Linked DNA regions of Neurospora crassa OR74A. The protein of the gene in region 1 binds, or shares a complex with, the protein of each later gene. Links are inferred from orthologs where the notes say so. Each region holds a gene or a part of one and is shown on either strand. Other genes may lie near its edges.

The links. The genes of interacting proteins can lie anywhere in the genome.
Region 2: NCU08299 (region 1) and NCU00952 share a complex: the UniProt entries of both Saccharomyces cerevisiae proteins name them as parts of the mitochondrial large ribosomal subunit. The link is inferred for Neurospora crassa OR74A from reciprocal best matches to the Saccharomyces cerevisiae genes MRPL3 and MRPL44.

What each region holds. Positions count from the first base shown.
Region 1 is NC_026504.1:2,488,107-2,492,455, forward strand, and holds NCU08299 (mitochondrial 54S ribosomal protein YmL3), read left to right. Parts: upstream 1-1,497; 5' UTR 1,498-1,787; coding exon 1,788-3,107; 3' UTR 3,108-3,886; downstream 3,887-4,349. Other genes in the region: NCU08300 (uncharacterized protein), read right to left, coding at 419-488, 603-785, 894-913, 998-1,000. UniProt on the Saccharomyces cerevisiae protein: Component of the mitochondrial ribosome (mitoribosome), a dedicated translation machinery responsible for the synthesis of mitochondrial genome-encoded proteins, including at least some of the essential transmembrane subunits of the mitochondrial respiratory chain.
Region 2 is NC_026501.1:6,595,464-6,598,676, forward strand, and holds NCU00952 (mitochondrial 54S ribosomal protein YmL44), read left to right. Parts: upstream 1-1,240; 5' UTR 1,241-1,534; coding exon 1,535-1,715; intron 1,716-1,880; coding exon 1,881-1,996; 3' UTR 1,997-2,562; downstream 2,563-3,213. Other genes in the region: NCU00953 (hypothetical protein), read right to left, coding at 1-137, 239-588; NCU00951 (inorganic pyrophosphatase), read right to left, coding at 2,884-3,109, 3,170-3,213. UniProt on the Saccharomyces cerevisiae protein: Component of the mitochondrial ribosome (mitoribosome), a dedicated translation machinery responsible for the synthesis of mitochondrial genome-encoded proteins, including at least some of the essential transmembrane subunits of the mitochondrial respiratory chain.

The DNA of each region.
Region 1 (4,349 bases):
GACAGTCGAGGTTTCCACAGCAGCTTACCTTGTTGCTTGCGTTTACACCAAAACATGCGAAGAACATTGTTAAGGCATGTTCACGATTCAAAGTCATGGAAGGTGGGCTCTTCTCTGTGAGTTCACTAGTATTCGCCAATAGTACGAAACGGTAAGAATAGAGGTAGTTTCCTCTATAATCCATTACAGAACTGATCCACATCAAAGTTAGCTTTATTCACGACGTAGCCAGGCTCTGGAGCACCAACGCAAGACGGCCAGCGGAGGGTAACCGACGTTGAATGTATTCCGAATATTGCATTACTACCACCAACCGGCCGGCCTCAACCAAGCCAAGATGTCCTGTTATTCCATCAAGCCTTTGGAAGCCATGTACTGTATGACCAAACGGCCGGGGTGGCAGGGCCTATGCCCAAATTTACTTTTTCTCCTGTGTCGTCCCGTTCTCCTTTTGCGCCCGCTCATACTCGATAATCTGTCTGCTCCAGCTAGTGGAGGTAATATCGGTTGCGTCAGCTTAAGAACATCCCCGCGGTCTGCGCTCGCGGAAAACGTTACGCATGTATAAAAATTTGGATGGGGGTCTGTCTGCCAGGACATACTATCTGCTGGGATAAAAGCGACCAGGCTCGGGCATCTTGTGACGGTACTCTTTCTCGGCGCTAAGCTTCCAGACTGCGGCAGTGATGAGGAAGACGACGCCACCGAGAACAGCCGTGTTCTTCTTCCAGTTGGCCGGCTGGGCGTACCAACCACCCGAAGGCGACCAGACGTGTTTGGGGTAGCTGGAGTGAAGGGCGAGGCAACGATTAGGACGGATCCATGACACAACGCAGGCTGGGTTGGACAGAATGCGCGGAGGGTTTGCGCATGTCGAGGGCGATGAAACTCACGGAACTTGGGGACCGCCGCCCTATAGACAGGAAAAATAGAGAGTTAGCAGACACAAAACATAGTAGTGATGATGGCTATTCTAAGCAATCGGGTGGATACGCACCATTGTGATGAAGTTTTGGGATATGTGGTGAGGTAGGTTGGACGTTCAACGAGGAATGATTCTTTCCACCTCGCAGTTAAGCAAGATCGGTTTGTACTGTCAACTTTGCGATGCACTGCGAACGACGGCACAATAGTGGTGATGCTTCAGCGGGAACAATTGGATAGAAGGACGAATGATGAATCCGCCTACAGGCTGACGAGGGGCTAAATCGCATCAACCATCCAGGCCTGAAAGTCACCATGTCACTCGTCCTAACTGGGGCCGAGGGCGCATGCGACAGACGGGCGGCGGGCGGCGGGCGGGCAGCTCCCGCTTGTCCACCACAGTGCACCGTATGCTAAACAGACAGCGCAGATAGTGGATTGGGGTCGAAGATGGATCTTGTGGGGACCCTCACTGGGCCAACAACGAATCATGTCAGCCGGCTTTTATGTCTCGGTCTTGGGGGAGTAACCCCTGCGCTTGAGCACTGATTCACGGCTCTGGGTGGTGGGCTTGTCTAGTGTACGGGTGGTGAGCGTTCAGATTGGAGAACTTTTTTTTTCTACCCGTGTTCGACGGCCGGCCGAGTCTGAACGAGAACCCATCCGATCAACGCGCGACTCCGACCGGGATCCCGAGTAGCTTCCCACCCCGCGACCACCGGCTCACCACCTGCCCGTCCGATTTCCCTCACTCCATCCTTTTCTTGGCAGGGCCTCCAGACGGCGCACACTTACGGAACCTGGGCCCCAGCACGTCAACACCCGGTTGTCGAGCCGACCATCACCCATCAAATATATCGCCCATGAAGAGGATAGCAACGCCCAGCTTGACGAGCCGGCTGCTCGTCGCCGCTCGCTCCGGAGTGTCGCCCGCCACTGCCGCCATCCGATCCCGATCTGCAATCTCGGTGCGATCGCAATCGACAGCTGCCCTCGCTCAGCACGATGCATCCCACGATCTCAACAATGATCGGTTCCCCCCGCTTGAGCCCCTCCCCCCCGCGGCCGAGTCCCTACCGTCGCCCCTCCCCGAACGGGCCTTGACCTCGGCCAAACTGGCCGCCCTCCACGCCCGTTTGAATCTTTCTCCCAAGATCCCCTTACAGACATTGGCAAGGACACTGGTCGACGCCTCGGCCGACGAGAACCCGCAGTTCAACAACGCCAACCTCGCCTTCGTTGGCCAGACCCTCATCAACTACCATATTGCCGAATGGCTCCTCTGCAAATACCCCCGTCTACCCCAGGGAATTCTCTTCAGTGCCATGAAGGCTTATGCCGGACCGAAGCCCTTGCTCCAGATTGCGCGGTCATGGGGTGTTGATACCGCCGCGGTGCCCGGCGGCGAGGTGGATCCCGGTCTTCTGCAGTTCGATGCCCTTAAGCCCGGCGTCGCCATCACAAATTTCGGCTACAAGCGTACAGAGCTCGCCTACCTCGAGAAGTTCAAGTGGCGTCGCGGTATGGCCTCGCGTGTCGTTCTCGACGACGACTTTGGTGATGTCGTGCGCAGCGACCCCAAGGTTGCCGCCGATCTGGAGAAGGCGATGGAAGAGCAGGATCAGGACAAGACTCCCGACGAGGAGGAGGCCGAGATGGTCGCTAATGAGCAGGACCAGGACGTGAGCTACGACCGCTACGGCAACCCCGACACCCGGGCCGCTGCTGAGCGGGCCCACGCCTACTTTGTGCGCGCCGTCGTCGGTGCCATCTACGCCCACTGCGGCCGCGAGGCCGCCAAGGCCTTTGTCAAGGCGCACATCATGTCGCGCACCCTCGACATTGCCAAGCTCTTCGAATTCAAGTACCCCACCCGCGAGCTCGCCGCGCTCTGCGCCCGTGAGGATTTCGAGCCCCCCGTGGCTCGTCTCCTCTCCGAGACGGGTCGCCAGTCGCGCACCCCCGTTTTTGTTGTCGGTATATACAGCGGCAGCGACAAGCTCGGCGAGGGCGCCGCCTCCTCTCTCGACCACGCCCGCTTCAAGGCCGCCATGAACGCCCTGAAGGCTTGGTATCTCTACAGCCCTGGCGAGAACCCTCGGGTACCCAGTGATATGCTGGAGGAGGGTGCCAAGCCCTGGACGCCAGCATACATTGATATGGGTGAGGTTATCTCCCGCTAAATGAGGAGGCTGAAACACGGAGCATGGCGGCGGACAGTACGGCAGGGCAGTAGAGAACTTAGGAAGTGTATGAAACGAAAGGTAAAAAGAGAGTCGCAGATGGCCTGCTTACACTCTCGGTTTTATTGGTTGTGCGGCCCATCAACTCGGGATAGGTTCCCCTTGTGGAAATCGACGCAAGAGGATCGAGAGGGAAACAAAACAACGAGTGGATTTTGTTGGTGTGGTCTAAAAGCTCAGCTTACCTTTCCACTCTTGTCCTGTCCTGTTGAGAGCGGGCAATTTCCGTCCTGCGAAGGAAGGGGATATTAAATGGATGGTCCTCTCCCATCCAGTCACTCCCTTTCCTTCCATTGTTTCTTGCTCTTTTTGCCAAAGACGAGATGTTGTATACAGATTTGCGCGCAACGGACATACATGTACACACACGCACACCCCCGCCACATATACCAATACAAAGGGGGGTTGGGACGGAACGGGGAATGAAGAGGGTCTGGATGGTGGCTGCTTGGCTCTGCTTTCGACAAAGAGAGACACAACCCTCGTCGGGGTGGCATCTGTGTCCTTCTTTCTCAGTGTATAATACCAAAAAAGTAGCCGAGGCCAGGGAGAAGGAAGATCATCGTCTGTATGTGTAGCATTAAGAAGTCAAATTTTTTACGAGGCATCAACGAAGTACATGACATGATAAATCCTTCCTCTACGTATTGACTGCTCTGGCATGAGGAGAAGGCTGTGTAAGAGAGAATATGGTACTACGCAATTTACACGCATTGTACAATTCCAGGATGTGTAAGCCCTTGTTTTGTATAACAAGCATCGTAAAGGAAGAAATGGGAATACGCAACCGGCAAGAGTAAAAGACCGGACGACGAGATCGAGCCTGGAAGTTCCTCCCAAGCTTGCGCGCCTTCCATTCATCCAAACTAGAGGTTGTTTAGTATCTATTTTGCCTTGTGCTTTCTTCACATTGCTCTTGTTTATCTTATACGTGAGAGGAAGATGAAGTTGGTGAGAGGGGAGATGAAATGTGGACTGTTCTCTCTGTAGTTGCGTCCTCACTTTCTCACCCCCTCCTGGTACTTTGTCACGACGTTTCCAAAAACACGTTCATCAGAACTTGCGACCTGATGCAAAGGGATCAATGAAGGAGACTTTGACAACTATAGAATTGGCATATTGTTAAGGTACAGTGGTCTAAGATAATAGGGTGCACCAAGGAGAACATGGAGTGCGCGTAGG
Region 2 (3,213 bases), on another chromosome or scaffold:
CTGATCCGCGGTCTGATGCGGCGAGGTTGGCGGCGACGGCAACGTAGGAGGCTAAGAGGAGCTGGCGCTCGAGGCGCTGGGCGGTTTCAAGGTTGCGGCGCGCCGCGAGTTGGGCTTTGCGGAAGGAGGTTCGACAGCTGTATTTTTTTGAGACGCAATTTTGTTAGGTACGTTGTTTATCTTCATCTTCATCATCGTCATCACCATCCAGGCTGAAAAGATGAGAAACAAAACTCACCCCTTAAGCTCGGCAGCCAAGCGTTGCGCGCCCTCCTTTAACCTCGTCTTTTGATGTTCCGCCTCACTCCCTGGGCGGCCGGAGCGCAAGTCGATAATCTCCTCCTGCAGCAACTCCAAATCCTCCTCCTCCTCGCGCAAGACCTGGCTGATTTCGGCGCTCAAGTCAGCGGCCTCACTGTTGGTGGTTCCATCGGCGCCAGTGTTCGCGAGACTGCTGATGCTGTTGCTCAAAGGAACGGAACCGGGCTCGAATTTGAGCGTGGCGAGACGCTCGATGAGGTCCTTAAGCTGGCCGGTCGTCTCTTGGAGGGCCGTGAGCCGCTCTTGAAGCGTTTCGAATGTTGACATTAGTGACTTGTTGTATTATGTCGGTATTGCATTCGTAGGGAGTTGACTCGGTAAAGGTAGATAGATATGTGTTGGAAAAAGGTGGATGTGTAACAAATGGTTTCCATGGATCGTAGTCGGATCCCACTTAGGTACCTGGTGTTGATCAGCAGCTGTGCTGTTGTTGATAATTAGTGGAAACCTGGCCTGAAAGGAGAGCACTGTAGCGATGTTCAATGGAAGTTCTCGGTGGGCGTGGCTCTTGCAACGTCATCCTCAAGGTCAATGAAAACGGATCACATGCGGAATTCGGTAACGGAGTTCAAGTTACAACTCGCTGGGGCAAATGGGAGTACGTACTGTTGCGCTGAAGGAACAAAGCACAAACTTACACACTCAGGGCTACAGACTAACACAATGTAATAGAAGGCCAGAAGTGATTCTCTTCCCGTTCAGAAGATTAAAAAGATGTATTATGTCAATTGATCTGATGTAGTGTAAATATGAATGCAAAATCGAGCCTGACACCGTTTGATCCCAGTTGGCTCCCAACCAATCACAGCCCATCTCTCACACGTAGCACGCGCCGTCCCGCATTCTCCGTTTTACAAAAAACACCCCTCCCGGTCCCCGGCGCAATCGGTACGTACCTCCAGTAATTTTTGATCGCATCCCTCCTCCACGCTGCCGGCCGGCGCCAGGCACGAAGACCGAATCGAAGTCCAAATCGCGACACACAAGCTACGTACCCCGTCCGATCCTCCACAGAGACCCGTCTCCCGTCTCCCGCGTCTCCGTATCCGTCCCCGTCCGGTGTGCAGTGCAGTCCCGTCGTCGCAAATTCGCAAAGTCGCAGTCAGGCCTCCGCGTTCCTCCTGCTTCTTCTTCTTCTTCTTCTTCCTCCCCGAACCCAACCCCAACACGACCTCAGGTCACCACCACCACCACCCGAGAGACCTCGCCCAACATGCTCACCCGCTTCATCACCGACGTATCAACGCGCTTCAACCCTTTCTCGGCCAAGGCCAAGGCCGCCCGGCTCTTCCTCTCCTTCCTCCCTCCCAACGCCCGCTCCAATGGCATGAACATCACCACCCAGCTTCTGCCGCGGAATTCCACCGAGACTCCTTTGCTCTACGTCAAGTTCAGTACGTTTTCCCAATGTCTCTCTTCTTGTCACTTGCAACTCTGTCACACATCGACGGACCGCCGTTGCAGTTGGTTGTTGCAATTTGGATCATTCCGGCTGGAAGGCAATCAAGAGTCGTTAGCTGTGAATCAAGCCGTAGTCTAACGTATTTGAAAAAAAACAGAGGACGGCAAGGAAATGAACCTCGACGTTGAGAACATGGGCATCAAAAGCATTGTCGAGGAGGTGGATCGCCACTCTCGTATCCTTCAGAAGCAGGCCGACTTGAACGACGGTTAACCGAATCTCTGTCTTTCTTTTCTTCTTCAAAACCCAGCAATCTCGAGACGCCCTTGTTGTGTTTTGATCCACCAATCGAACTTTGCGGGTAAAACGAGGGAGACTGAGACTAGGAAAAAGGAGGGAAAAGCCACGGGAAGAGCGACGAAAGCCCATCTTGTCTTGATACCCAGACTACTTGGCTTTGGTCCGTGGTACCAAAATGACGATTGACCGGGAGGAGAAGAGGAAAAGTCTGGATATCTAAAGGCACATTCGAATCACCTGGGTAAAGCCAGCGAGCTTGGAGCCGGATACCTGACGACCTCTCTGAGAGATCTGTAAGATCGCCTTACCAGCCAAAAAGAAGAAAACAACAACAAAAGATATGAACCTGTATTTGTATTGGGCAAGAGGTTGTAAGTGTACACCAACAGCATTGGGAGGCGTTAAGGGGCCGGCGATTTTCAGTTGGCAAGGCAGTTTGGGTACCTGTTGTTATAGACATGCGTATATAGCACCTCTGCCATGGATTGATTCACACACATCACGGTACGCCCATTTTGACAAAGTCAAAGTTGAGATCGGCCTTTTTTTTTTTTTTTGTTTTTGTTTTGGCGACCGTGTTTCCTTCGATGGGGAATTCATCAACGGTATCGGTATATTTCAACGGCGAAACTCATGGCGCAAGAATGTCGAGCATCTCCTCGACAAGTCCCTATCCCACGGCATGGACTACAGCCTCAGAAATGGCCAATCTCTGACCGCGCATACCTTGTTGCAAAGACGTTCGACTCTACGCAAAACAACGCATGAGGGTAACACCATGGAGGATTGTTCACGACGAATTGACCAATACAACAAAGTGCCAATAAATTATCTTTATTCTACCTCAACAAACGAACTCTCTAAGCGGAAGCACCGCTGATGAAGAACCACTTGTCGATGGAGCTATCGATAGGGGCAGGGGGGAGATTCTCGTTGGGAGGGAGGGGAGGAAGCTGGTCAGGGGCAACACGGCTGCTGGAGTGCTGGACAGTGACGTTGGTGGTGGAGACACCGCCAGGGGCAGTCTTGCCGGTGATGAGACGCTCCCAGGCTTCGTTGCACTCACGGACGACGTCCATGGCGTACCTGTTGTTATTTGTTAGCCAATGTAGCAGTTGCGGTGACAAAGCGGTACAAAAAACTCACGTCTTGTTCTTGCACTCGCCAGTGAAGGCGAACTGGTTCTCGGG